Linked DNA regions of Caenorhabditis elegans. The protein of the gene in region 1 purifies or fractionates together with the protein of each later gene. This does not show direct contact. Each region holds a gene or a part of one and is shown in the gene's direction. Other genes may lie near its edges.

The links.
Region 2: the proteins of wago-4 (region 1) and znfx-1 purify together in Caenorhabditis elegans (affinity purification with western blotting, with the first as the bait; one study listed by BioGRID). This does not show direct contact.

The regions. Positions count from the first base shown.
Region 1 is NC_003280.10:12,915,776-12,931,721, forward strand, and holds wago-4 (Argonaute protein wago-4), read left to right. Parts: upstream 1-3,775; 5' UTR 3,776-3,801; coding exon 3,802-3,957; intron 3,958-4,009; coding exon 4,010-4,200; intron 4,201-4,245; coding exon 4,246-4,414; intron 4,415-4,458; coding exon 4,459-4,864; intron 4,865-4,910; coding exon 4,911-5,637; intron 5,638-5,682; coding exon 5,683-5,858; intron 5,859-5,904; coding exon 5,905-6,073; intron 6,074-6,122; coding exon 6,123-6,297; intron 6,298-6,340; coding exon 6,341-6,586; intron 6,587-6,626; coding exon 6,627-6,991; intron 6,992-7,039; coding exon 7,040-7,157; 3' UTR 7,158-7,602; downstream 7,603-15,946. Other genes in the region: F58G1.2 (C2H2-type domain-containing protein), read right to left, coding at 30-527, 1,610-2,046, 2,634-3,002, 3,169-3,205; F58G1.8 (Elongation Factor G domain-containing protein), read right to left, coding at 9,529-9,672, 9,720-9,827; F58G1.3 (Serine/threonine-protein phosphatase), read right to left, coding at 10,261-10,398, 10,443-10,648, 11,250-11,864, 11,913-12,005, 12,443-12,485. UniProt on the Caenorhabditis elegans protein: Argonaute protein which is involved in the endogenous small interfering RNA (endo-siRNA) pathway and is required for RNA-mediated gene silencing (RNAi) in the germline.
Region 2 is NC_003280.10:9,207,576-9,222,471, forward strand, and holds the start of znfx-1 (NFX1-type zinc finger-containing protein 1 homolog), read left to right. Parts: upstream 1-6,126; coding exon 6,127-6,293; intron 6,294-6,340; coding exon 6,341-6,546; intron 6,547-6,595; coding exon 6,596-6,710; intron 6,711-6,754; coding exon 6,755-6,841; intron 6,842-6,891; coding exon 6,892-6,987; intron 6,988-7,637; coding exon 7,638-8,076; intron 8,077-8,187; coding exon 8,188-8,508; intron 8,509-8,554; coding exon 8,555-9,277; intron 9,278-9,321; coding exon 9,322-10,210; intron 10,211-10,295; coding exon 10,296-10,824; intron 10,825-10,893; coding exon 10,894-11,215; intron 11,216-11,260; coding exon 11,261-11,398; intron 11,399-11,453; coding exon 11,454-11,627; intron 11,628-11,671; coding exon 11,672-12,120; intron 12,121-12,169; coding exon 12,170-12,356; intron 12,357-12,405; coding exon 12,406-12,531; intron 12,532-12,612; coding exon 12,613-13,181; intron 13,182-13,232; coding exon 13,233-13,575; intron 13,576-13,618; coding exon 13,619-14,842; intron 14,843-14,885; coding exon 14,886-14,896. Other genes in the region: ZK1067.4 (Transmembrane protein 151 homolog), read left to right, coding at 2,821-3,008, 3,427-3,766, 3,813-4,180, 4,596-4,746, 4,828-5,223, 5,267-5,449. UniProt on the Caenorhabditis elegans protein: Epigenetic inheritance factor which, in association with the Argonaute protein wago-4, mediates small RNA-directed transgenerational epigenetic inheritance and thus balances the transgenerational inheritance of epigenetic information.

The DNA.
Region 1 (15,946 bases):
TGAAAATTCCGCGCAAGAATATTTGTTACCTTCGTATGCTCTTCCATCTGAAGATATCTGCTAGCTCTAAAGTCGCACACCGTGCACTCAAACTTCAGGATTCCGGTGTGAACACGCTCGTGAATAGTGACAGCTGTATCCGAAATGAAGAATTCCTCGCAGAAATGACATTGGAACGTTCGCGAGAAGACATGAGCCATTTTGCGATGCTTTCGCAGCTTTCTTGGCGTCAAGAACTTCTGATTGCAGTCTGGGCAGCGGAAACCGGAATGGTAGCCACGATGGAACTTGGTGCGGTGTCGGAACAGACGGTAGCCATTGCACATGTTACGGATCGGACGACAATCGAGACAGAGATATGTGAGATCACAGTCATGAGTTGGAAGATCAGCGGCCGATGGAAGACACTTGAAGCAGTGAAGACATTGAACGAACTCGGCGCATTCTGGATGCTTCTTCGTGAGGTGGTTGTTGAATGAGATGTCGTTTCGGAATCGTTTATCGCAGAAAGGGCATTGAGGGGAACGCTGGAAAAGTTTAATTTAGACTTTTTAAGAAATTATTTTAAAAGTGGAAATTGCTTTAAAGTACGCCTATGGTATCACAACAACCGAATATCATGACTAAAAAATTCTTTTAAAAAATCGAAATTTTATATGATTTTTAGAAAATTGAAAAATCTCAGTTTTTGCCTAATTCCTATTTGAATTACCGTCAACTGGATTTGTTCGATGGAGCGCGCTTGCACGTTTATAAATTTATTTATTTTATTTTTTGTTATTTTCCACCGATTTTTAATGTTTTCGGTGTATTTTTGCTTGAATTTTAGAGAAAAAGTCAAAATACATGCAACTTTTCGATTAAAAAAGCACGCTTACAGGCGTAGATCATTGAAATTAATTAATTCAGGTTCGAAATCGTTCAAAATCGTTACTTTGTCATTTTTACGCCTGTAAGCGTGCTTTTCAATCGAAAATTAGCTTTTATTTTGACTTTTTCTCTAAAATTCAAGCAAAATTACACCGAGAACATTAAAAATCGGTGGAAAATAACAAAAAATAAAATAAATTAATTAAAAAACGTGCAAGCGCGCTCCATCGAACAAATCCAATTGGCGGTAATTTAAATAGGAATTAGGCAAAAACTGAGATTTTTTCGATTTTCAAAAAATCATATAAAATTTAGAATAATTTTTTATCATGATATTCGGTCATTGTGGTACCATAGGCATGTTTTACAGCAATTTCCCCACTGACGCTACTCCACCTTTAAAGAATTAGAATTTCAAACAGATTTTTCTCTACAAAATGGCATATTTTTCGAACCTGAAATCGAAAAACTGACGATTCTAATACATTTTTTAAAAAACTGTAGTGACTCCTTTCTGTAAAATCTTCAGTTTTGGGCCAAATTTCATAATTTTACACATTTTCAACTCGTATGATTCCTCTCAACAAAATTATGAATCAAAAAAATTCGGAAAGAGTTTCTATATAGGCCAACAATAGCCAAAAACTGCTGTCCCAGCTAATCGAGCTCCCACGAATTCAGGAGTTTGTGAGGTGTCGTTCCAGTAATTATGAACACTCCAGGACATCGTGTTTATTACCTTCTTAAGATATGGAAATTTCTTTCTAAGCGCATCCATTGGGTACATGAGACCTCCGTAACGATTCAGTCGTGGGATGTGTCCTTGACTGTTCTCACCCGGCAACGGGATCGAGTCCACTTCCAGATTGTTCGATGTCGCCTCAATTTCCGACTCTGGAGGAATGAATCCGCCACTCACAAGCTCTTCGATTCGGTTACGCTCTCTCTCCAGTTCACCCATATAATCAGCCATTTCACGTTGATTTTCCAAAAATGCAATGTAGGCTTTCGGGTGGGAATCTCTGAGATGTCGCTCGAGAAGGCTCATCTCACCGAAACGATTTTTGCAGACTTTGCATCGGAACATGCTTTTACGGACGGCATTTCGAATTTCATCGATGCTCAGTGAGGACGCAGGAACCATGTTGAGATCCGGAGCACAAAAGTCTTGCTGCTCTGAAAATTATAAATTTTCTTTTTTTCCAAATATTGGTTCAAAATTGGACTCAAAATTGCCTAAAAATACCGAATTTCATGATGAAACTTCTTGAAAACTTCTCAAAAAAAAGTTATGACGGCTCAAAAACTGGCCTAAAATTAGTTAAAATTTGAAATTTGACTTGTCAGCGCTGCCAGCTGGAAACTAATATTTTTGAAATCACCGTCAAATTTTGAGTATTTTATGTAATTATCTTTCGTTTTTAACTCTGATTTAGGTATTTTAAAGTCGATGAACGGCGAGATTTTTAAATTTTTTTAAACCAAATCTCGCGGTCCATCGACTTTAAAATACCGAAATCGTGTTGAAAACGCAAGATAATTACATTTTATACCCAAAATTTGACGGTGATTTCAAAAACAAAAATTGTTTCCAGCTGACAGCGCTGACAAGTAAAATTTTAAGTTTTAACTACTTTTAGGCCATTTTTTGAGCCGTCATAACTTGTTTTTGGGAAGTTTTCAAGTTTCATTATATAAATCGGTGTTTTCAGACAATTTCGAGTCTACTCCACCTTTAAATGACAAATTTCTGAAATCCTTACTTTGTCGAACTATACACTTGTCAAGTTCGGCAGATGGATCGATGAAATTCAGTGCAGCTCGGTTTTCGCGAAGCTTTTTGATTGGTCTTCCATCCCCGCCGAGAATGATTCGTTCTTTATGAATTTTCGGCGGATTTCTGAGGCTCGCAAGAAGCTCGCCGACTCCGGTGAGCTTTTTTCGTGGGCAACACACGTCATTTCTTCCAGAATCGTTGGCTTCAGCTACTGTTTCCTTTTTCATGCATTCTTGAAGGAAGTGCTCTTGAATACGACGAATCTGTTGAGCATCCTGAGCGTTGAATGATGCAATAATCTGCTGTTCCTTTTCGTCTTGGCAATCCCTATGTTCCGCATGATCATCTTCCGAGACTGCATCTATCAAGAAATCATTAGAAGAGAATAATACAAGAGAAATAAATATCAAATAGTGATAATAACTAGGTTTCTTGGAACCAAATATAGAAATCAAGTTAACAAAATTTCGTTATTTTTGTTTTTTTATTAGGTTAACAATAGAAAAAAATATAATGATTACGTGAATCTTCACGATCGACAATCTCCGGCGCCTTCATTGTTTCTCGTTGCTTGTCCTGATTGTTCCTGTAATTAATTGCATTATTGAAGGAAATTTTAAGATTTCAAATAACGAAATTGAACACGGGTCTGGAAAAATAGAGGCGAAACGAAGAAATATGAACATTTCGAAATAATGCAACAATCTCATGTGACTCCTGATGAAGAGGGTATTTGAAGTGCAAAATAGAGCGCAAGTGCACTTTTTTAATTTTTCTCTTAAAAATAGCTATTTTTGTTTAATTCTAGAGTTTTAATTATAAAAAGAAAAGCAAAATTCAATAAAGGTTCTCTTCGAAAAAATAAATTGTTCGGGTGGATTTACGGTAAACAAGGCGCATTGCGTTAAGGCGGAGTGTCGTTGTGCTCGGGTCTCGCAGCGAAAGTCACCTACAGTAACCCAGAATTTTAGGATGACCGCGATTTTCAATTTCGTTTTTTCTTTTCGCGTTTTTTCGCGGAAATGTTTGTTTTTGATGCTCGTTTTGTGTTTTTGTGTTGTATTTTTGTTGCTTTTTTCGCATTTTTCTATACGTTAAGTCTTATTTCGTCTTGAATTTTAAATTTACAGGTAATAGTTACAAAATCGAGAAGGATGCCAGCTCTTCCTCCAGTCTACACGCCTTCTGGAGCTCCATCGAGCGTCCACGCACCACCTGCCGTTCCACCAGTTCCAGTTCCGACTCAACCGTTAAGATCGGAGTATCAAACGTCTAACGACGCTTGCATCAAGAGACTGGAAGAGCTTAATGTACGTTTAGTTTAATTGATTTTTTTTTCAAACCTAATTTGTTAAATTTCAGATTGCTCCTGCTGCAAAGCTCTATCCAACACCTACTGAACCAGGAAAGTGTGGCGTCGAGGCCGAAATACAGACCAACGTATTCGGAATCGAGATGCACCAGGATTCGTTGTTCTATCAGTACAGCGTGAACATCACGACGGAGCTGAAAAACGGGAAAGAAGTTACCTTCACTAAGAAGGGGAAGGATGAGTGAGTTTACCACATGATTTATATTTTTCTCATAATATGTTCCAGCTTCGTCGTTACTGAGAGACACGACAAGTGCTGTGCGATTCTGTTCCGCGCGCTGGGTGACTATGAGGAGTTCTTCAAAACGTCTGATAGCTGCCTCATCTACGATGGTCAAAGCATTCTGTTCTCAAACGTGGATCTTTTCCAAGGGTTCAGAGAAGGCGCAGTAAAGGTAAATAAATTAAATCTCGGCCAATGTTATTCCGAATATTTCAGACCAAGTACATGCAGCTTGATGGCGGAGAAATGGATCATAAGGATCTCAAATCGTTGCCGTGTATTAAGCTGGAGGTGTTCCCGACTAAAAACCCAGCGGTCAAGTTCACACGAGAAGCCGTAGCAAGACGAGCAACGGACTCAAACCTCGATTCTGTCAGCTTGGCTTACCAACAGATCCTGGAACTCGCTCTCACTCAACCATGTCTTCGCAACACTGCGAGATACGTTGTTTTCGATCATGGAAAAATGTTTTTCATTGATCCACTCGGTGAAGGATTCGAGAAATGCGACGTTGTGGACGTTGGGGATGGGAAGCAAGTTGTACCAGGACTCAAGAAGACGATCAACTTCATCGAAGGACCCTACGGCAGAGGACGGAGTAATCCATCAGTTGTCATTGACGGTTGGTATTCAAAATAGTAATATCATAGTTATTTCTTGTTTTTCAGGGATGAAGGTCGCTTTCCATAAGAATCAGCCAATTCTCGACAAACTGAAGGAGATAACTACGCAGCCTGTGGAACACGGCCTGAAGGGACTCGAAAAGGACCGCTGCGCAGCCGTCATCAAAGGGCTCGACTGCTATTCTACATATGGCGGTCGTGAACGTCATCACAAGATCGAGGGAATCCATCACGAAGGGGCTCGAAATGCTCGTTTCGAGCTCAACGACGGTGGAAGCTGCACTGTAGCTCAATATTTCGAAGACGTATACAACATCACTCTTCGCTATCCAGACACAAATCTCATCGTTTCCAAGGAGAGAGGAAATATAAACTTCTACCCGATGGAATTGTTGAAGATCAGCTCTCATCAACGCGTTCAGATCCCGCAGCTAACCAGTGCCCAGAGTCAGAAGACAACGAAGGAAAGTGCTGTTTTACCTGACGTTCGCCAGCGTCTGATCTTGACGGGAAAAAATGCGGCGCAAATCTCATCGGACAACGAGGTTCTCGGTAAAATGGGCGTCTCGGTGTGCGAAGATCCGCTCATGGTCAAAGGACGCTCAATTCCTGCGGTGAAGTTGGCAAACGCTGAAATTGGAGCCAATCCAATCAATGTCAAGGACAACAAGTGGCGTGCCAACCGCTTCACTCGACCAGCCACGGCGCCGAATGTGTGGGCGATGTATGTTGTCGGTACCGCATCAACTCGCATAACTTTGGATACTCTGAAGTAAGACTGGCAATATAGTTTCATATCTCATTTTTTTCGTTTCAGGAAATTCGCAGATGAGTTCGCGGCTATGTGCAAGTCAAAAGGTGTCAACATGCCTGCTCCTGCTGACATTTCGCTCATCCATATGGATGCCATCGAGAGTCGTCTGTACGACGCAACGAAAGCCAATTGCACATTCGTTTTCATCATAACGGATGATTCAATCACTACACTCCATCGTATGTTACATTGTTTATTATATTTGTCCATATTTCCGTCTTTCAGAGCGTTACAAAATGATTGAGAAGGATACGAAGATGATCGTTCAAGACATGAAGCTATCCAAGGCGTTGAGTGTTATCAATGCAGGAAAGAGGCTAACTCTCGAGAACGTGATCAACAAGACCAATGTGAAGTTGGGAGGTTCCAACTATGTTTTCGTGGACGCCAAGAAGTACCAGATTTTTTTTTGCGAAATTTATATTCATTTATTATTCCTTCAGGCAGCTCGACTCTCATCTGATCATCGGAGTTGGGATTTCCGCCCCACCTGCTGGAACCAAGTATGCCATGGAGAACAAAGGAGTTCTAAACCCCAATGTCATCGGCTATGCGTACAATGCACAGCACAATCAGGAGTTCAGTGGAGACTTCGTGTTAAACTCTGCCAGCCAAGATGTGAGTTTCCATTTAAGAATATTCTCATCCGATTTGATTTCAGACTCTTGCGCCGATTGAGGATATTGTGATGCACTCGCTCAACGAATACCAGAAGTTTCATGATGGCGGTCTTCCGAGACGCGTCATTGTCTACCGAACAGGAACAAGCGAGGGAAATCATGGATCAATCATGGCCTACGAGATTCCTCTTGCTCGTGCTGCTATGAGAGATTTCTCACCTGATATTCAACTTGTATACATTGTGGTGTCAAAGGATCACAGCTTCAGATTCTTCAAGCCCGATTTGGTTAGTAGTTTTGCATCAAAATAACTTTGTATATTTTCAGGCAAGTCTAGCTTCCCGTCCACAAGCGACTTCCAGCACCGCAAGCAGGCATTCTGCAATGCCAGCCGCCCCAAAAGCATGGGATCTGAATATTGCACCCGGTATTTTGGTCGATTCCATCGTGACAAATCCGGCTTGCAAGCAGTTTTTCCTGAATTCCCACATCACTCTGCAAGGAACTGCGAAGACTCCATTGTACACAGTTCTCGCCGATGACGCCAAAGTCAGCATGACAGCTTTGGAGGATATCACGTACAAGCTGTGCCATCTTCACCAGATCGTTGGACTTCCGACGTCGCTTCCAACTCCATTGTACGTCGCCAACGAGTACGCCAAGAGAGGACGCAATCTGTGGAACGAGGCAGTGTAAGTTTTGCATTAGCGGATTCTTTGGAAAAATGTTTTTGTTTTCAGGGCCTTGAACAACGTTCCAACTGTTTCTGGCCCGGAAGCAGATCGTCTCAAGGAGTTGACCAAGAGCATCTGCTACAAAGCGTCCGGAGATCTCACGGGTCGTCGTGTCAACGCATGATCACTTTCAACAAGGCAAACTTTGTTTCTTTAACCACCTCAACCCTTCCCTGCTGTTCCATTATTTCCTTGTCCCTATTGCAATTGTTTTTGAACAACTAATAACCCTTTCCCACCTGTACCATTTCACATTGTTACTCTTACACCACGTTTATAACCGCATAGTTTTCCCAATGTATTAATATTGCCCATTCTTGTTATATCATACTTATATTGTCCCCTGTTATTCACTTCCCTTGTCAAATATTTCCTTTTTTCAGCAACTTGTCATCGCAATTTCTTTTCTCGTTGAAATTACGCTGACAAGTGTGCTCTGTGGCCTTTTTCTTTTTTTTTTTCATTTGTTTTCTTGTACTAACTTCTCGAAACATCAGAAGATGTTTCGAGAATTTAGTTTTGAATACTAATATAGGCACTGAAAACTTAATAAAAGTTGATAGCCGTCGAAATTGGTTTTTGTTCTATTTTTGAATTTTCCGGGTCGGCTTGGCATCAGGGATGTTCAAGAAATTTTTTTTTGCAAGAAACAAGAAATTTGCATAAAACATTGCAAGAAAAAGCGCAAAAAATGAAAGAAATTTCAAGACATGGAAAACAGTTAAACTTTTTTCAAATGTTAAGATATAGGTTAAAGTAGTCGATTATAAATACGATTTAACCTAATAGGCGACTCCTGGAAGTAAGTTTCAGCCGAAAACTATGAAATTATTGCAATTTCCAAATTTCTACGATTTGTCAAATTTCCATGTCCAATTTTTAACGATTTGAAACATTTTTCCAGCTTTCTAAACGTTTTTTATCCAAAATCCTATATAAAATTTTTATATTTCCATAGAACTTCCTCCATCTTGTACTGATTTTTCTCGAAATAAACCTGAAAATCAAAAAAAAATTTCTTGCACTTTTCTTGCAAAAAAATATTGCAAGAAATGGAAGCAAGAAATGCAAGAAATCAAGAAACAAGAAATTTGCATCCCTGCTTGGCATGCAATTATAATAGTGATACTTAGCTCTAATGATAAGAAGAGGGAGGGATTGTCACGTAAACCCCGTTCTAGGGCAGTGTGGAAAATATAAAAAGTTTATTTCGGAAATTAAATTTTCTACAAACATGTGATTGTGTTTTGAAAAAAAAGAAGTGAGTTTCGCGGCGTTGTAAATACAAGTACAAAATTGAGTGAATATTATATTTTCAGAAAGAAGGGTGGGGTACTGTTGAGAAGCGAGACTCACACAACTACGGAAAAGATCATCAATACAAGGGACACAATAACGGAGCCTATTTCGAGTACAAACAACTATCCAAAACCTGCTTATAATGTCAAGTTAGTCGATGAGATAATTAATTTGCAGAATGATAATTGATGTTCAGGTTCGTGAATTTGTGAAGAGCATTATGCTCGGCGGTCGTGAAGCTCAAAGAGCTCAATATAATATTTTAAATTCTATGAGGGGATCTCGTAGCTCTTTGTAAGTAAATAATACAGTTTGTATATAAGTAAAATGGAAATTTTCTCATCAGATGGTCCAATGCAAACACAGCTTATGTTGGATTCACGAGCAACCCAGGGAAGTATTGCATTCGAAAAAGCCCAAATGCGCCCAATGATCGAGACTTTTGGGTCGATGTGTGTCAATCGCAAATTGGAACAGTTCTGAAAATTGGAAATGGAGTGAACGACTTGGCATTTGTTCCTGGAAAGCGATCACACAAATGAAGTTCAACGATGTGCATTTGATCAACAAAAATCACTCAGAGATTTCATCAGCGAATTCCACGATTTTTTTTGATAGTGTTGACGTTGCTTGTGGGATCAATCGATCTTCAGTTGAGTTCGTTTCTCTTGGATCTTGGAAAGACAATGAAAATCCACTATTCGATACTTCTGCTATGGTATGTTCTCTAATTGCCGCGTGAATGCATAAAAAATGGTGTTTTCAAAAAGAGATTGATGATTGCTTCCCGCGATGAAGACACCAAGTGCTCTATGCTGGTAGCAATATTGTCTACGTTGGATTCACTTTTGCACTCAGTGAGTTTGAAATATTCATATTTTGTTCCCAAATGTAATCATTTAGGAAACCGCTCTATCCGTATTCGACTGCTGCATTAATCTTCGAAATATTGGGCTATTGTATGATATGAAAATTCAGGTATGATTCATTTCATCACACTAGTGATTTACATGAAAACTATTTCAGGATTATCAATACATTTTCGATACAATTCTTGACTACTTCATTATTGGTCAAGCTGCCGTTGCCACTCCCGAGTTGACCAGAATGTACCACCACTACAAGCAGCAATAATTGTACTTTTTTCTATTTCATATGGCAATAAACAATCAATTCGGCATAATCTATATATTTATTTACATTTGCACCTTTAATTTAATTCGGAATGTTGGTTCTTCCTTTGTGAATCGCGTCAATGCCTTGATAAAATTGTCAGCATCTTTCCGGTTAACAGATTTGAGTGCCACAGAAATGGCTGGCTCCGGAATGTGTATTGGCTCCTTAAAGTTTCAATATTATTAGGGCAAAAAAGCACCAAAAAACATACACAATGCGGAGCAAGATTCTGATCAGTTGAGAACGTTTCTCTGGCAGTCAAGTCCAAAAGTTGTACAGATATCTCCAGCATAAGCAGTAGTGATCTCTTCCATATCATCAGCGTGCTCGAACTTTGCTTAATTGTCCCGTGTAGACCCGTAAATAAGTGAGACATTTAATTGCAGGCATTAAAATATATATCAAAAGAATCATTAATTGACAAATAGAAAATCATATTGTTGATTTGTTGTGTTGAAGCATTGGAATAGTATAAAAGAACTCTGAAAGAAAGTCAAATATTCTTTAAAATATTATTACAACTTATATTCTTCATCATGTTTGATCACTATGCTTCACATTCAGATGTACTGGATCTTCTAGGCAGACTTTCCAGAAATTACGACTATTTCGAACTTTTAATTTAAAATTATTTTTGTTTCAAATAAACAGCATAGTAACATATAATATTTTCTTTGAAATTGCGCAAAAAACAATTCAAATCAAACGATTTATTCATGAAATCTAAATTGGCTCTTTTTCCTGATTCCTGACTATTCCTTGACATATGGTTTGATGGCTTCTTTGTCAGCACGAGCCGCCTCAATATTCGTGTCGATTGCAATCGCTGGAGCTGCCTTGGCCTTGGTGCCATCCGGAAGTGGTGGTGGGATCAGCTGTTGGAACGAGACCTGAAATTAAAGGTTTTATTAGACTTCGAGTCATTTAAGATTACCTGCAAGTTGGCGTTCAGGCAAACCACTGCGGCGGCGTTGGTGAACTGGGCACAGTAGTTTGGCACCGAGAAGACGGTGATCAGACGGCGTCCAGCCATCATTTCGTATCCATCTTGGACGACTTGATGGCCACGAATGATCAGATCAATCTCCAGCGATTTACACGCTTGCTCGACGACTCCTTTGCCAAACATGTAGCTGATTCCTGGAAAAAAAAATGAAATTTTCAGGAAAGATACAGGGTCTCGACACGACCGAAAATTTTAAAATAAAGATTGCGAAAAAGTAGGGGTGGGCGGCAAACGAATTTTCCGGCAAATCGGCAAATTCGGAAAATTGCCGGAATTGAAAATTCCCGGAAAATTGTCGATTTGCCGAATTTGCTGGAAAAATGGCAAATCGGCAATTTGCCTAAAACAACATTTTCCGGTAAATCGGCAAACTGCCGGAATCGAGAATTTCCGTCAAATTGTCGATTTGCCGAATTTGCTGGAAAAATGGCAAATCGGCAATTTGCCTAAAACAACATTTTCCGGTAAATCGGCAAACTGCCGGAATCGAGAATTTCCGTCAAATTGTCGATTTGCCGAATTTGCTGGAAAAATGGCAAATCGGCAATTTGCCTAAAACAACATTTTCCGGTAAATCGGCAAACTGCCGGAATCGAGAATTTCCGTCAAATTGTCGATTTGCCGAATTTGCTGGAAAAATGGCAAATCGGCAATTTGCCTAAAACAAAATTTTCCGGTAAATCGGCAAAATGCCGGAATTAGTGCTTCTCGTGGCGAGACCCAAAGCTATTCAACCTCGAATAGAATGGAACCATCCTTCTCCCTTGTTCGTCGGATCCGACCACAGCAAATCAATAAGCAAACCACGATCCAGCGGCTCACACGGACGTGGAATATTCCTGATCGTATCAAGATTGATGAGCTCCGGCGAGAGTCCACCGTGCATACAGAGCACTCTCTTCGAGATCAATCCAGACATTGGCATACGATTGAAGCATGTCTGGAAGTCCCACCACAATCCGACTCCGTACTTGTACTGACACTCCACGTAGAATCCATAGATCTTGTTGACCGACGGCGTTTCGTGGTTGCCACGCAGCAAGTAGATGCGATCCCTGTAGCGGATCTTCAAGCAGAAGAGAAGGATCAGAACTTCGATTCCTTGCGGTCCACGATCCACGTAGTCTCCAAGGAACATGAGCTTCTCCTCTGGAACACGCCCTATCAAGTCGAACAGGCGGTTCATGTCCTGGAACTGGGCATGTATGTCTCCGATGACTTTGATGGGAGCCTCGGCTTCACAAAGATTGCTCTCGTCCATGAAGATTGCCTCGACCATCCGGATGATTGCAATGATCTCGTGTCCAGTCATCACATTGCAAATGTTGATGTTCGTGTCCTTGTAGAGACCTGGAAAGGTTGGAAGGTTGGCGGTATTCTGTCTAGGTAAGGTCTTACTGTTCATTCTCTTGATGCAGTCGTCCATCCATTCAGCTAATCTCGGGTTCTCCTTGGCCAAATCGAACTTTGATATCTCTGATGTTTTTGGACCTGGAAAACGGGGTTTTATTAGAAAGTACGAAAATACGTGGTTTTTAGAGCAAAAGGACACGGATTTCTGACTTCCCTCATAAATTGAAATGGAAGAGTTTAGGCCGAACTAGGCCATTTTGGCTCGGCCATATCTGGGGTAGATTTACGGCGCGTTGCGTGTCGCGTCGCGGCTCGTTTTTAGTTGTAAAACTAAATGTATTTGTCCGTGAAAGGAAAGGCTTTCCTTCCGTGCGGAGGTTGCAAATCTTGAAACCCCCGCCCAGTTCTAAGGGCGTGGACAATCCACCAGATTTCAATCCCCCGATTTGCCGAGCCGGATGAGAAGCTGTAAAGCATGTCGCGGTGAGACCCATGCGCCTTTAAACACCAGCGCTCGAGCCTCCCATACATCGACGCCAACATCGGGGCATGACATTCAACTTCCTGAAGTTTACCTTCTTTCGATCCTTTCTTGTTGTTATTCCCGTCGGTGCTCATCGTGAAGACGTTGCTTAATCCTTCCTCGCAACCAAGCACACTGCTTTAAAATTGAGAACTGATTCGTTTCAAATCCGAACTGGAACTTTTTTTGCCAACTTTTTTTGTAATTCAGAAGTTCACGTTTACGATTTTTATTTGGTTTTTCAAAAATTCTTTTAATTTGGAAGTTTGAAGGTTCACGTAAAAAAATTCGCCAATTTTTCGGTTACAGTATCTATTACAGTATCGGGACAAATTGCCGGAATTGAAATCTTCCGGCAAATCGGCAAACCGGCAACTTGCGATTTTGCACATTTTTTTTAGAAATTTCAGAATTCCAATTTTAATCGGCAAAATTGTACGCATCCTATGAATGTTCCTACATCTGCTATTTTCAAAAGTAAACAAATTCCATCAAAATATCGAGAGAAAAACGGGAAAACATTTCAAAAAAGCACATAAAAATCCCTCTAAAAACTTCCGGCAAATTGATGTTCGGCAAATCGGCAAATCGGCAAATTTACCGAAATTAAAATTTCCGGCAATTTGGCCACCACTGATTAGTATTGCACCTCACATTTGGCAGCTTATATCTCAGTGGTCGTTTGTTTCATTCAAAAATTTTCAAGTGACAAAATTTTTATTAGATATTTTTCTAAATTTTGTAATTGATTATTTTATGATATTTACAGAATAAACCGAGATATAACTTTTTAAAGTAAAGTTGCAACCTGGAAGGCTTTCCGAAATGACTGAAGCTGCGGAACTTTAGAAACCATTTTCCTTAAAAGTGGAGTAGCGCCAGTGGGGATTTTGTCTAAATACACTTATAATGATCTAAAACGACCGAATATCATAATAAAACACTACAAAAAATTTTACATTTTTCATAATTTCCGGTCAAAGTTTTGGAAAGTTGCCAAAAAACAATTTTGAAAAATATGAGCTTTTGAGGAAATCAAAAGCAATGTCGCATGTTTCGACCCCTAAAATATTTTACTACATATTATTAAAACAAAATTAAAGTATAAGAAATGTAGAAAAAAAAATTTTTTTTTTGGTCGACTTCCAAAATTATGAGTGCCAAAAACTGAGTAATTGTCACTTTTTGACAGTAAATAAAAAATTTTCTACAACTTTTTGAAAAGTTTTATTTTGATATTCGGTCATTTTGTCATAATTGGAGTAGTTTTTAACACTTTCCCCACTGGCTCTACTCCACTTTTAAAATGTTCGCTTTCAAATTGTTTGCTCCAATTATCAGACTTCCCTCTCATTTTGCAGCCAACTACATCCCAAACCTACAAATCTCTCAGCCGCGTCACATCGTTTTCTGTATTCCAGGGTAATATCAAGTCTGGATTATTAGAGCTCCACCCCACATATCAGTCATTTTAAGCATTTCTGCTTCACCCAGCTGAAATATGTTTGCTCATTCAAGCCATATGGAAGTCGTGCTGGCTCTGCAGAACATGGGATGTAACGTGTCACGTCGTGGATTGGAGTCGCGGTTCTCGAGAGTTCGACGTTAATTTTTTTCTAATTGTTTCCAAGTTTCTTGGGCTTGAAAATGTTTAAGGATTTGAATAAATCGTTAATTGTTGAATTTTTTTCAATCTTGTTAATTTAAATATTTAGAGACCATCTGAAAATAGTGAGAGGTTCAAAAAAACTGAAAATTTTGCCAAACAGTGGTGCGCGGCGATTGCCATTCGGCAAGCGAATTTTTGGCAATTTTGGCAATTTCCGATTGCCGGAAGTTTTGAAAACCGGCAATTGCCAAAAATTGCCGGTTGCCGGAAATTCCCAAAACCGGCAATTGCCGAAATAGCCATTTACCAAAAATTCCCAAAACCGGCAATTGCCGAAATTGTAGATTGCTGGAAATTTGTATTTTTGGCAATTGGCAAAATTACCGGTTTGCCGGAAATTTCAATTCCGGCAATTTGCAGATTTGCCGATTTGCAGGAAAAAATCGTTTCCCGCCTACCCCTGGTCTATAACTTCAAAGTTTCAAATAAGTACCATGTGAAGATTAACCCCGATTATCGACCAGTCCATCTCCAAACTGCAAAACACTATTTTCAAACTGCCATATTGAAATATCATATTATAGTTCGAAACGTGTGTTCTACTGATAACAACACCATCCCTTTATTTGATTAAGTTAGACTTTGCACTGATAATACACATCGTTTAATTAAAATAAAACTAGAAGGTATTCATCTTAGATGCCCTACTACGTAGTACTCTACACTTTAAAAGGTTTTATCTTGTTTCATTTTGCAGATATTAATACATATTCAACTGCAAAAATATAGAAAAAGAAATTACAAATATTTTGCCAATCGACTATTTTTGTATAGGACAAACGACAACTGAGATATATGCATTGAAAGTATATGTTTGAAGAAAAGAAAATCGCGTATTCGTGTAGTTTTTGATTTGACAAAAGTGTGAGTCACATTTTGGTACACATATGTACGCCCTATTTCTAGAATTGGCATGTTCTTAAATGTTATTAATTTTTTTTCCAAAAAAAAAATAATGGATTGTTAGAATTTGTTTCAAAAATTGTCCTTAAATCTAGTAAATAGCCTATTTATTTAATTTATTTATTAAAATGTGAAGAAAGCTAGATGAAGTTCTAATAGGTAGGTAGGCAGGTAGGTAGGTCGGTAGGTGGGTAGGCACAGGGATGGGCGGCAAACGATTTTTTCCGGCAAATTTGCAAATCGGCAAATTTCCGGAATTGAAAATTTCCGGCAAATCGGCAAACCGGCAAATTGCAGGGTTAGAAAATTCCCCTCTAAACATTTCCGGCAAATCTGATATTCGGCGAACGGCAAATTGACAATTTGCCAAAGTGAGTATTTCCGGCAAATCTGATATTCGGCGAACGGCAAACCGGCAATTTGCCAAAATAAATATTTCCAGCAAATCGGTAAACCGGCGATTTGCCGATTCGCCGAGTTTGTCGACAAATCAATTTGCCAAACGGCATTTGCCGCCCACCCCTGGGAAGGTAGGTAGATAGGTAGTTGGGTATGGGTATGGGTATGTATGTATTTATTTTTTTCGAATTTTCATTTTTCAAATATGGTTTAATTGCAAGAATACACTAAATTTCTAAAAAGGTTCTTTTTGTAATTTTGCAACATGCCAAAACTTTAATGTTTTGGGCCATACTTTGTCAAAATTTGCACTGGCGCTACTCTTGAAAATTCCATGTAAAAAATGTGTCCTTATTTTTGACAGTGCCTATTGTGCCTATTTTGAAACTTTCCTCCAAAACCACAAATTCCATCAATTATTCATCCCAGGAATAGCCACGTCGTCGGTAAGTACACGTCGCATACCGCCTCTCTATTGTATTTGCCCTCCACCAGCGTCTCTCAAATCCATACACTATCTCTGAGCACTAATCAAATTTGGAGCCATCTCCGCAATTGGCTTCTTATCAGGTCATATATTGATAA
Region 2 (14,896 bases), 3.7 Mb from region 1:
AAGAAAAAGTGAGTGGCGGGCTGTTGTGGCGCAGCTTAAACTAGGATTAAATAGAGGGGTTCCATTTTTGCAACAAAAAGGGTACAGAGCTTTGTTTTTCGCATTCTTCTCGAGTGGCTCACACTCACATGATTCAGAACTTCCTGTTCAAAAAATTGAAAAAAAGACCTCATCGGTGTTTGAAACTTTTTGGAATCTTCTGAAAGTACGCTTCTGGTTCACTCAATTTAACTTTCAGTCGGCCTGTTTGTATAACGCTAAGTATAGTGGCTCTCATTTCTGAAATCTTCCTTTTGTCAGAAAAAAGTTGGATAACAATGACATTCTTCATCAAGACAGTCACAGGAAAAGTCTGAAGTTTCAGACTGAAAAAGTTGAATTCTTTGAAAACCACATCACCTGCGAAGTCTTACTCAGTATTTTCCGTTCGAAACCAATTTCCTTTCATACAAAGAATCTTTCACTCAGTCACCACGCACCGAATTGTTCCTTCCTTCCTTCCTGAATACAAAGTTTTGTCCCGCTCCTACCCATTAGTAGGGCTCTTTAATTTATGCCCCTCCTTCTTCTACTTCTACGCCTTCTTTTCCTTCATCTACCACAAGTACTCTGTCAAAGAAGCATAGAGCTTCCATCTTTTGTTGTCTCTTCCATCATTTTTCCCTTTCTTTTCCATTTTTTGGTGCTCTGCTTTCCGTGCTCTCCATGGAACAAACTCTTTTGCGACAAGTTTATCACTTTGAAATGGATTTTGGAAAACCCCTTCTATTCCATGGTCTTCAAAGGGCCACTATTGTTGGTCAGAGTGCGAAGGCGTCGGGGATTGGACCCCATGGGGATATCGGAAGAGATTGACAGGCAAGCATCGGAATATCTTCTTTGCTTACAATTATACTATTGTGCTCTCTTAAATCGACTTTTAATGGTTTCCTGATAAAATAACGTTATAACGTTTTGTGGATTTTTCTGCTAGTTTCAAATAAAATTTCTGAAAAATAGATTAAAATCCTGAAGGACCATAACCATAGTTTTTTATAACCATAGGTTAGTTTCAGATGGGTCTTGATCTACCGTAACCTTACAAATTATTTCGATTTCTAGCAGAAAAATAATTTATTATTCAAAAGAAGCAACAATTATCTAATTCAAGTGTTCCTTTTTTTGTAAAACCTGACATTTCCGTGTTCTAATTGATGTTTTCCGCAAGGTCCTAGCAATCTGGAAAAACAAAAAACGCACACATTCACAACTGCACAAAAAAATAATTCCTGATTCTTCTCATTTTTTCTCTAAATCTCTCAATTTGTTACTATATATCGTGCTCGCTCAATGTGACTCAAATCAAACTCTATTATGGTGTCGTTGTTGTAGAAAAGAGATGTGCACACACACACACACATACATCTTTTTTCTTGCTCTACTCCCGCGCGACGTGTCCAATTTCAGATCTGAATCTCTTGGGGAATCTCTCCACTCTTCTCCTTTTTTTGAGATGAGCTCATTGTGTTGTGAGCCCCCAAAAACTTTTTTACGAGGTCTCAATGACAATGGAAATTCAGAAGTTTTAATATAAAAATGTTTTCGTTTCAATTCAATTCCGTTGTAGTAGGTGTCGCCTAAAAATTTTGTAGAAATTCTTTGCGGAGGCCCTTGTGGAAATGTGAAAAAAGTAGGTAACAATTCAATTTCCTAAGATTCTAGATTTAGAATCAAATAATTCAACGAAATGAAGAAAGCTGACTAGGTATGTCAAAAACCGAAGAGCACAATTCTCCAACTTTTTGCGGCCGAAAAACAGAAAAAAGGATATTTTGAACTTTCAAGCAAAAAGTTATGGAGTACTGTAGACCGTCATATACATATTAACTAACCTTACACATTTTTCACAAATTCGTTTAAAACTTTATTCTATTGCATAGCTCTTTGAGCTGTAAACTGTCTATCAAATCGAACATTTTCTGATGAATTCCTATAAATTTTAAATGAATTCATTTAAATTCTGCTTTTTGTGTTTATTTCTTCTTTCTTCCCAAGATGACGGAAAACGAATTCATTAGAAAACTCAAAGTTTGCCTCAAATTGTGTAATTTTTTTTGAAAACATCATAAAAGCGAATACATAAAAATAAAATCTGAAATTCCCTTTTCGATTTTTTGCTCTTTTGTGTTGCTCATTGTGCAAAATTTGAATTTCTTCAACTTGACAAACCAAGAGTTATTTTTTCGGAGGTTCATTCTTCGTCAAAGCTTATAACTCCCCGAGGACAATTTCTTTGAGATTTACCCGTTCTCATCTATCTTTCTACAATCTAAATGTTCAAAAATTTCCAAAAGTTCAAGTTTAAAAGTTATAGAAGTACAACAAGACGGCAAATTTTCATTCATCACTTTTCCTTATAATTCGCGTCCTCTAAATTGCTTGAATTGCACCTCTCCGCCCCGCCAAAACTCATCAATTTTCCCTTCCTTCCGGTTTTCCTTTTTTCTCCTCTTTTTCTTCCCTCTTTTGCCGTTTTGTTTTTCTTAAACCACAAACAAATACTATTTTAAACGTTTTTCAAAATTTGCTTTTGATTAGAAAGTTTGAATATTATAGAAAAAGTTTATAAATTTAACAGATTGAAGTTTTAATAGAAGAAAGTTGGTCAAAAAGTTGGCAAAAGGATTTGCCAGAAAATGGCCAACAATTGTTGAGTTGCCAATGAAAATTACAAAAGTTTGTTCACTACTTATTTCCCCCAGCACTCATTGAACTCTGACTAACTCTAATACTTTTTTCTTGAAATCGTCTCAATCTTCAGATCATGAATTGGTGTGAATAATGGCTGGTACTGTGGACGCTCAAGAGCACGTGGCAAAACCACGCCGTCCGAATATATTCCGAGTGTTACGAAGGACGGGATACGGGAAATGTCTTGTTTGTTCGTTGCTTCTGATACTTTGTTTCTTTTATGCAACATTTTGTCATGTCAAACATGAAGCTTATTCCGGAAGTCAACCATTGCTCATGTAAGTTTAATTTTGATTTTTTCCTATTTTGGACAAATTTCGAAAATGTAGCATATGGAAAAAATAAAGATGAAAACGGTAGAAATTGACTCCGCCTATATCTTGGCTTGATTTTGAATCACTCTAAAATGTTTTAGATTTTTTAATACTCTCCTTTTGACAAATGTTTTGACAAATTGCTTGCCTAATTTTCAAAAATTCAAATTTTGCGGAAAGTTCAGAGCATGTTCGAAGATCCACAATGTCTCAATGAAAATCATTAAAACATAATTATAATAAAAACTCGTAGAACACATTTGACTTGCATTTAGGAGTAATTTTGAACAATCTCCCACTGGAGCTACCGTTACCTTTCATAATATAACTGTGTAGAACAAATTTAGATATTTATCTCACTTCTGAACACTTCTTTTTATAGATATCAACACGGACCATGTGCACAAGGATATAACTTTGTTCCAATTGTATTTGGTCTTATGCTATATATAGTATACTTGATGGAGTGTTGGCACAGTCGAACAAAAATAATAAATATGAAAAAAGTTCGTGTTGAAGATGCTCTTGACTATATAACTGCTCTACGAACATCTCCACCAATTGTATGGTGGAAAAGTGTTTGTTATCACTATACGAGGAAGACAAGACAGGTTACAAGATACCGGAATGGTGATGCTGTTTCGGCTACACAAGTATATTATGAGAGAATGAATTCACATCAAGCTGGAAGTATGTTCATATATGATACTTGCGGATTTAGGGTGAGTACTGTGTCAAAAACATTTCCATTTATATAATTTGTTTCAGGACATTTCAAAATCAATATTAGAAGTTGAAAAGTTCCACGTCACACGAATTCGTCTTTCGCGAAGTTTTGTATTTGCGAACATGCAGGCTGCAACTGAGTTCGAGCAACAAAGATCCAGATTTTTCAATGATAACGAGACAAAAGATGATTATATGGAAGTACGAGAAGGAATGGATTTATCGGATGTTGGATTTGTAGAGGAAATACTTGCCTTCAATAAGCCTACACCACCATGGTTCCTACATCCCATTGTTTTTTGGTTTTTCTCAATTTTCGTGTTATCATGGCCATTGAGAATCTATACAGAATGGAGGACAGCGGTGCTATCGTTTCAAGTGATTAAGCTTTTCGGAACCAATTATTTGAGGTAGGAATATTGGATATAAAATATTTGAAAAAAGAAACCAAAAAAGATTCCGTCGAGCCGGATTCGAACCAGCGACCTAAGGATAACCACTGACTCTACAGTCCTCCGCTCTACCAACTGAGCTATCGACTGCACGCCGTTTTCCTCTGTTGAGAGAAAAGACCTGGCGGGAACAGAAAGTGTCAGTCATATAGAGCATTTTCATATGCGAAGTGTATAAAATTTATATTTCTACAAGAAGTTGCCTAAAATAGCCACAAAAATAGTGTTTTCGAATTTTCTTCAATAAAGGGATGTGGCTCAAAAACGTTGAGTTCCATCAATCATTAGGCATTTGGCAGGAAGAAAAGATTAGCTACAGCAAAAAAAGATAGAAAAGTAGTATAAGTATTTATTTTTCAAATACATTTTCCAGTCCGAATTCGGTCAACTACACGGGGCCATTAACCAGAACATCAACTATGGATACTGTTGAGTTGGAGGCATTGTTGAGGAGAGAACAACATTTCGTTGTACCATCGTACAGTGAAGTTATGCTCATGCAAAATACGATTGCTAATTCAAATGTAAGGTTTTTTTTAAATATTAAAATTTTAAGATCATTTGCTCCTGATAAATATTTATTAATCGCTCTGATAATATTGTAGACCAATTATCCAAATATTCGATGCCTGGACCCTGTGATTCTTCCACGACCATTCGTGAGTACAACTAACGAACATATCGTACTTCGGAACTATGGAGCAACAGAAACCGACAATTCACTATCTGAGCCCATTACAGCAACGCCGAGACCTCTTAGAGTTAGCCGAAGTATGACATTTGCTGCTCAAGGAAATCTCGAAGAATCAGCTGAGAATCTGAGTTGTTTAGAAAACGGAAGTAGAGCAAATCGTGCTATTCCATCGAGTCGGCGGAATTTGCCGTTACGTTCGTTATCGATAGGTGGTATTTCTGCTTGGTCCAATGGTTACAGAGAAATTGGAAATCCTGATGATTCACAACTACTCATTGAACCAGATGAACCACCTCCACCATATGAGGTCGGTTTTCAATTTATAATGGAAATGACAATTTATTTCTCAGGTTGCTCTCAGAATGTGTGCTCCATTATATGAACGCCTACGACGATCAATATCTTCACGATTGGCTTCAATTTCTCACTCGAGCTCGAAGGATTTGAAGTCGCTAACTTTGAAAAGTAGTTCTAGTAACAATAATAACAATAATTCAAACAACAATAATAACGATGATCCAGAACATCCATAAAATCGGGTATTTTTTCACATGCGGACCAATTTTAAGAATTGTTAAACGTTGGTGCTTGAAATAAATAATTTTTCTGATTTTTTTTTATTTTCAAGTTTAAAAAAATTGTGTTTCAAGTTATTCGATTAAAAGCGTTGTTTTTATTGCCTTATTAAATGGTAAAAAGCAATCAATTTTTAAAGGAGCGTCCACTGAATACGAGGAGATGGTCTCGGCACGAAATATAAAAAACTACAGTACCCTTGGAAGTATTGGCGCGGAAATTTTTTTTTATTCAGTTATTTATCTGTTCAGTTTTCGTATTTTTGATGTTAAAACTCCATTTTTCTCTTCAAAATTTGTATTAAAAATCACTGGGCAACGCATTTTCACTATTACAGAAGTATTTTTGATGAAATCTTCAAGAAATTCACATGTTTCTTTGTTTAAAATTTTAGGATTTGACGGTTTCGGTTTTTAGGCCAAAAAACTCCGTTACCAGTTTTAATTTCGTTCTGATTCCGTGAGGCAATGCTTCACTAATCACATTTTTCACGAAATACAAAGTCTTGCTTGAAAATTTAACAAAAAACTCCAATACTCTCGCAAAATCTTGAATATGGCCATTTTATTTGATGTAATTATTTCTTTTACAGATAAATACTTCAAACCAACCAATCCATCTATCTGACAAGCTAATGTCCAGAGATAAACCACCTCAACGTGAGGTTGGCGGACGTCGGTTGCCCTACGAAATGGGTTCGTTGAAGTTCGACGAAGACCCGTTCCGCGGACAGCGCCGGCGTCCGTGGATGTGCTTCAGAATCGGCTATCCGACAAGCGAGTTCTCATCAGAGCACTTCATGTACGTTCAAATTATTCAAAAATTATTGAAAAAACGTATTGTTTCAGGAAATTCGTGAAAAGGTGTCACACTTCGATGATAGAAGTAGGTATTCTTCTCGATGATGAACGGGAATTCCTGCAATATCAAGAAGTCAGGGAAGATTATCTTCTTCTGAAAAAGCTCATCGAGGAAGGTCTGCAGAAGTGTGAAACGATCTATGAAAAAGGACCGCTGTCGACTCCGGTTGTTTTTTTCATTTTAGACCAGTGCGGTAAGAAAAGTAAATTATACATAACGTGTATAAATATTCACTCATACAGACGAAGACGAAGTCCAAAACATGCTGGATATGTTTAGGGAGTCTTGTTATATCTTCCATATGAAACGCAACGAAATTCTCAACTGGATCAACGAAATGGAGTATGAAGAACTGGAGTGAGTAAATGTTCAGCATAACGTCGAAAAAATTCATATTTCAGAAGTGACTGCTCTAAATTTGCACAGTTCATCAAAGGAGTGGAAAATCTGACGGAATCCATCGCGATGCCCATGGAGGTAGAAACAGAGTAGGCTATCTAGAAGGAAAAAATAATTAAAAAACATCTAACTTTCATAGAGAATTCATCTTTGGAAAGAGTTCGATTGTATCGACCGAAGACTTTGTTGAAGACGCCCCTCACAAGCAGATCGCACAAGATCAACGCGAAACAAGGTATCGTTACCATGTTGTAAACTTTCTATTCAAAAATTTTGCAATATCTCTTCGTTCATATTAGACTTATGGCCTAGCTATTTCTTTCTTTTTCCACACGTCCAACATAGATAGACAGTTCGAGACGTAGAGAAAAACAGAAAAACCGTGACTAGTTGCTTCCCCTGTGATTGATATGCTTTTTTTTCACAAATTCGAAAAAAATAATCTGAATAAGCATGTTTTCACATCAGAATTTGTTAAACAGTGTGTTTGGAAATACTGAAATATTCCCTTGACTCGCAGGATTTAACGAATAATTATTTCAAAATTTTCGATTGTTTTTCTCAATAACATCAATAATTTTTCCTGAATTCCTGATATTGCTTTTAAAAATATATAATAGAATTGGTGACCTTTGTTAAATCATTGATAATCGCAGTGGCTTTTGTTTTTATTCTCGTTTCATAAACAACGTGAATCGTGGTAGCGGAAAAAAAACCACATTTATCGTGTTCCCATCTTTCCCCAGAAACCTGGCCGCGTTCCTTTTCACTGTAGTAAACGCGGATTTTTGTGGGCATACTGATTTCGTTAGAAAATACTTTTTCTTAAAATGCTAGAGCTCTCCGCGTTCTCTCATAATGTATAATTAAATTATCTTGTTTCAGACCAATTCGCCAACCGTATTCAATGGTCAGAAACCTCGCCCCCCCAGGGCTCCCGCCGCCTGGAATTTCGATTTCAAACAGTTCGCCTCCTGGATTATCTTCAGTTTCGCCAATTCCCCGAGCAGATACACGCGAATCCCGTTATTCCACCCCTCAACCACCCGGATTGTCAATTCCAGCACCACCTGGAATATCTCTTCCAACTCCACCAGGAATATCTCTTCAAAATCATCAGAATGATCAATTCGAGCAAGCTCATAGTACCATTTCGAGAATGAGCGAGAATAGTTCATCTTCGAGGCGTCGATTCCGCGATGAAGAAGTTCAGGAAGAAGAAGGAGATCATATTCTATCGTCTGAAGATGTACATGCTGCGCGGAACGTGTGTGAAACCAAAATCCTTGTTAGAGGAGTTCCGCAAAAGAACGATTCTGAGTTGGTAAGATCTATTCATTTTTGTGATAAACTGCAACCTGTGAGTTATTTCGGCAATTTCCGGAAAACTAATCTTCAATAAACACGAAATTAATATTAAAATTTTAATTTTCAGTCCAAGCTCATCAACGGATCAAAACTATACGTACGGTTCGAACGTCCGTTTGTAAAACTAGCTCACAATCTAGAACTTCTCTACGTTGTCAATTATGCTATCAGTTCTCGAAAAAGTATTGTTCGGGATCACAGTAAAGCAATTATTCGCGGATTGTTCGAAAAGGATTTTCTACTGAAGCTCAAAAGTAAATTCCTGGAAAGCTCGTTTGACAATGACACGTGGACTCCCGAGGGTACAGAATTGCTATTCGAAATCTTTCATTTGTTTTTCACAACGGCTCGATACAAGGGTGGATTCATGCTGACACTTCCGAGATTTGTAAGTTGAAATAAACTGAAAATTTTAAAAGTAAACATTATTATAGGCGCCGTCTTGGCATGATTTCTCGATGGCTTTCGATATTGCTGACATGGATGGACTTGAGGAAGCTGGTGTGGGTGATGATGAGCTTAGAAATCTTAGGAGGCTGATTGGTTACATTGAAACATGGATCAAACGGGCAGAACGGGAACGAAACCCCAGTCCATTGGCGCTGCGGTCATATTCAGTGTACGAAAAAGCTGGTTCTTCTGACAGTGGACGCCAAGTTTTATCTGAAAGTCGAGGTGCAGGTTCCAGCAATGTTTATGGTCATGACGAGGTGGATTTCGTCGATCACAGACGCAGAGACGAGTTCGGACATCGTGATAACTACCGGACAGAAAACCGTCGCCATAAAAGCCCGGACAATTTTGGAGAAGTTCACAGAAGGCTCGATGAGCAACAACAACAACGACATGAGGATGAATCATCAAGATATCGCGATGACTCGAGACAGTCTCGACGAGCAGATGATAGAAGAGATCAATATCAGTACAACGAATCAACATCTATGGAAAATCACTTGGGGTTTCACAACGGCGGTGGCACCGTCAGTGAGCACTCACGAGATGATAAATTCGTTTCGCCTCAAAATTGTGAAGAAAAACGCAAATATTGCGAAGAGGACACAGATGCGAAACCACAACAACCATATCGCTTTGAGGAGATAAAATTCGAACCAATTTGGGTGAAATGTGAAAAATCAGAACCGCCAGAGGATTTTAAGGTAAAAAAGTGCAAGCTATCAAGGCATAATTGTTTTTTTTTCAGACGTTGCCTTCTGTTCCTGTTTTGTCCGAGTATGTTAATCCAGTAGAGCCCTATCTCCGTCGGATCCAAGATGATGGAAAATACAAGTCTGTTCATCACTACCTTGATGTCCAATTTCGTCTACTGAAGGAGGACTTAGTGAGCCCACTTCGAGACGGAATTGATTTGTACAAAAAGAATGGAACTTGTAAAGGACGTAGAATTGAAGGAGCGCCTTGTTCGGATATCTCAATTTTCAATGTCGAAAAGGTTGACGGAAAACAGGTTACTGAACGTGATGGATATGAAATGAGAATCATATGGCCAGCACAATACGATATTTTAAAGTTACTCGATAACGATCGTGAGATGAAGGAGTTGGGATTAGTGATGCTTTCGTGTGATAGATTTAAAGAAGACTTTCATCTAGGACACATTCAATCATCATATTTGATGAGAAATGGCTCACTTCATTTTGCTGTCCATGAGGAAACGTCGCCTTTCAAACCGAACACAACATATCAAATGGCGCAAGGAACATCATATCTGCCGTGTTACAAGCATGTTCTTGAGAACTTGAAACGTATCAGCTCATTCAAACCACTCCCCTTCGAAAGATATCTTGTCCATGGTAGTAAGATCATTTTTCGGCCAAACTTTCAACAAGCTGAGAAAAGCGAGTATCAGATTTCCGAGGAGAAGAAGTTGATGAAAACCTATAATGAACTTCGTTCTCTAGCAGCATGTGCACGATATACGAAAGGAAAGCCTATTCCTCGAGGAGTTGACGATGATGACGAAGATTATGAATTTAGCAAGTCTCGTGAACTGTCAAAAGAGGATATCGATCTCGAATATAGACAACTGCAAGAGCCGATTTTCAGGCCTCTCGTAGGAGTTGATATAAAAGGTTAGCGTCCTACAGAACAAATTTTAACTCCTCTGACTTTAATTTTTAAATTATAATGATGTAATTATACTCTTGTCATTTTCAGATAGCAATCTAATCCAAATCAACAAGAAATGGTATAACGTGTCCCGCCTTCTTGACGAATTCCACCCCGATTATATGGATGAAAGCCAGAGATTAGCATTTTGCAACACATTCAAATACGAGCTTTCGTTGATTCAAGGACCACCAGGAACTGGAAAAACGCATATTGGAGTTCAAATTGTGAAGACTATTCTCCAGAATCGTTCATATTGGAAAATCACCGAACCAATCTTGGTGGTTTGTTTCACCAACTCCGGTCTAGACAATTTGTTGGAAAGAATCTATCAAATGATTGAAAACGATGAAGAACTTTCGAAAGATAATGGAAGGCCAAAGATTATACGGTTCGGAAGTAAATGTGATTCGAATTATCTTAAGCGACAGAATGTGATGAGGCAAGATGTCTATGAGCAGTACAAGTCAAAAGTGTCGGATGGTGCTCAAAAGAAAATGTCAAAGGCTGGTGCAGCTAGACGACATAAAGCTGACAATCTTGCGATTTCTAGTTACACTCTTTTCTGCTCTAGGAAGTAAGTCTTAGAACAAAAACTAGGATTTCGAAAGTTTCCTATTTAATTTAATGAAATCTTTTTTTACAGCAAGCTTCTGTCTTACGAAATGCTTTCTCGTGTGATGGACCCGAATCATCAGATGGAAATTCAACAATTTACATATGATCACGTCGACACCAAAGGAATTCCATTGAGTCCTGACGAAGCAATCGGTTGTTGGTTGTTAGAAAGAGATTTCGGAAAAGCCACGAAATCACAGACGAAGAAAGCGAAGAAACCGAAATTCCAAGGTGCACAACTAGATTCGGAAGACGAAAACAAAGACTATTTCACGGTTGAGGATAGCGATGATGAAGAAGATGAATTGGATGACGAAAAGCTCTTGGATAAACTTTTCGAAAAGATGAATGTAAGATACATGTCTCGATAAAAAGTTATTATCTAAATATTTTAGCTCGAATGCTCTGGAGCCGACATCTTGAGTGCCGTCCACGCTTCCCACGCCGATGAGTATTATACCAAAGGACCCTGGGAGATTGTGCAAGACAAGCGACCAAGTGTGGTTGTTTTGATGGAGAAGAAAACGAAACCGGTTAGTAAAACCTATACTTAATATGGAAATTATCTAATTTATATTGATCTTTCAGTGTAACGCAAAGTTCACCGTTGATGAGCAAATCAACAATTTGGTCTCCGAAATCAAGGACATGATTTTATCAAGCCAACCAGTTCCAAAGAAGGATTTGAACGATATCAAGTACATTTTCAGTCTCGCCCGTTTGAAACGGTGGTCTTTGTATATTACCTGGTGTGATGCCTTGGTACGATAATCTTGTCAATTTTTTTGTTACAACGAATTTTTCAGAGATCGATTGTCACGGAAAATCTTCCCAGACAGATTCGGGAGTACCGAGAAGCTTGTGAAAACTTCAAAAATGCTCAGAATAGAGTGGATGCAGAGATCATGAGAATGACAATGATCATCGGAGCGACGACAACCGGTTGTTCACGTCTTCGCCCTACTCTCGAGAAAGTTGGACCACGGATTCTCATTGTGGAAGAAGCGGCGGAAGTGCTCGAAGCTCATATTATTTCGGCAATGATTTCAACTGTCGAGCATGTTGTGATGATTGGAGATCATAAACAATTACGTCCAAATCCAGCTGTACATGAATTGGGAGTTGCGTACGGATTAAGAATTTCCATGTTCGAAAGACTTGTGGAGCGTGGTTTGCCTTTTTCACAGCTCCGTCAACAACATCGTATGAATTTAACCATTTCTGATAAAATCGTCAAACTATCATTTTATGATAAGTGAGTTTAATTTTAACAATATAATTTATGCTAATTCGACTTTTTTCAGTGTTACCGATGCGGAAAATGTTGGTCTTTATCCAGATGTTCAAGGAATGGCTACCAACCTATTCTTCTGGTCTCACACAAGTATGGAAGAAAGTCCAGATGAAGTATCTTGGCTGAACAAACACGAGATTTCCATGACAGTTGCGCTTGTGAAACACCTGTTAAAGCAGAACTATACCACCAATGATGTCAGTTCTTGACTGAATAGGATTCATAATTTTACTAATTTGTTTTCAGATTGTTGTTTTGGCCACATATTCAGCTCAGAAGAATTTGATGTATCGTGAATATGCAAATGTTTTCGGATCAACACCGGACTCAAATGTCATTCCAGTCGAAACTGTTGACAGCTTCCAAGGAAAGGTTAGTAATATCACTCAATACTAATCTAGGTTATCAGCTGATGGAGGCATTTTAGTGAGATTTAAAAATGTGATGTTTCAGGAACGAAAAATTGTTATTGTGTCCCTGGTTAGATCACATCGTGGTGGAAGAGAAAACACTGGAATCGGATTTCTGGCTGTTGCCAATCGAATCTGTGTCGCATTGACTCGAGCACAACACGGAATGTATATCATTGGAAATGGCGCATACATTATGAATAATTCTGAGTTATGGAACAAAATCGTCAACAACTTGAGAAGAAGCAATCTGATTGAATACAACCTTCCACTCAAATGTGTGGCTCACGGAAACATTGTTACAGTTAAGGATCCGCAAGATTTCGCTACGAAATCACCAGAAGGTGGATGTATGCAGAAATGCGACACCAAGAAGTTCTGTGGACACGTATGCGAGCGTCTATGCCATCCCAATATGGAAGAAGAACATCTCCAACGATGCCTTTACAATTGCGACAAAAAATGTTCAAACCCGCAGTTTCAACATCGATGTAAAAAGGCATGCTATGAAGAATGTGGAAGTTGCTTGTACTTGGTGGAGGTTACATTGGATTGTGGGCATAGAATTACAACTCCATGCAGTCGAATTAACAGTTCAAAATGCGATCAAAGGTCAGATTATTACATTAAATCTTTTTTTTTAAATCAAATTTTTGTTTTCAGCTGCACTAAGAAACTGCTATGTGGTCATGCCTGCGCAGCAAAATGTGGTGAAGAATGTACACTTGTATCGGAATGCAGTCAGTTAGTCGGAATGCCATTGAGCTGTGGACACATTAAGCAATTAACTTGTTCGAAAATAAGTGCAAATGAAATTGATTTGACGTGTGATCAGCGATGTGAAAAAACGATGTTGGCCTGCCCCCACAAATGTGCTGAAATTTGTGGTCAGCCATGTACTGTTGAATGCATGGAGGTAGTTAATGTAACATTGGGATGCTCTCATTCTCAAGATGTTGTCTGTTCGAGCTTCATGCCAGGAATGACGGATCACATCGAATGTTTGGTGAGTGCTTTTTATGGTTTCTGTTTTGAATTTCATTTTTCAGACGAAAGTTCCAAAGACGCTCTCGCCTTGTAAACATACGGAATTGGTTTTGTGTAAGCAGGCTCCATCAACAAAACTATGCACAAGAAGATGTACATCATATTTGGAGAAGTGTGGACACACGTGCGAGAATGATTGTGGAATTTGTTTCACGACCAAAACTCATATCTGTCAGAATATGTGCCAAAAAGTTCTCAACTGTGGTCACACGTGTTCGGCAAAATGTGGCGAGTCCTGCCCACCATGCAAAGCGTTCTGCACAAACAAATGTGAACATCAGAGTTGTGGTGCTGGAGAACGAGGATTCGGACGCGATTGCAGCAAACTATGTGCTTTATGTGTCAATAATTGCTCCAATAAGTGCGCACATCGTAGTTGTACTCTGAAGTGTTTCGAGGAATGCAACGTGAAGCCATGTACAGAACCGTGCACTGATAAACTCAAATGTGGACATGCATGTCTTGGTATTTGTGGTGAGCAATGTCCGAAAATCTGTGGCACGTGTGAACGAAACAAATACATTGAATGTGTTTCTGGCACCTCAAGTACATCACGAGTTCATCGTCTCATCATGATTCCGAAATGTTATCACGTTTTTCCTGTGGAAGTTCTTGATGATCACGTCAAAAAACAAAAAGAAGCTAATGAGAAGTTGAAATGTCCCAAGTGTTCGGCGTTCATTGTTGGAGTCTTGAGATATGCAAGATACACTAAGAAGTATTACTTGAATGAGAACATGAGAAAGCTTGAATCCAATATTCGGAACATCCATCAATCAACATTAGAAGGAAGAGTTTTTCAAGCTGTTCAGGATTCAATTGGAGAAATACGTAATGTGACGACTAATCTCACCAATGCTTCGGAGGACATTCTACGCAACTTCCATCAAAAAATTCTCGACATTCGAACATCAGCGGAAACATTCAAAGGAAAGCCGGAGCACAAGTTCAAATTTGCATCCCTACTTCAAGTTGCAAACTGCTGCCTAGCTATCACCAGACTTTTGTCGGTTTCATCGAAGTTCCGAGTTTCCAGAAGAAAAGACATTCCACCAACATTCGATCTGATGTCAGTGAGAGTTTTAGGAGATATGCCATTTCCAAAATTGATTGATGAGTTGAATCGAGTGAATATTCATCTATCGAATACTTACGAAACGTTCATGCCTGGTGCGATTATTCCAAAGCTGAAATGGCTTATTTCAAGAATGACTGTTCTGCAGCAGGTTCGTTTGGTTTCCAAAATTGACAAATAATTTTGTTTTTCAGCTCACTTCTAT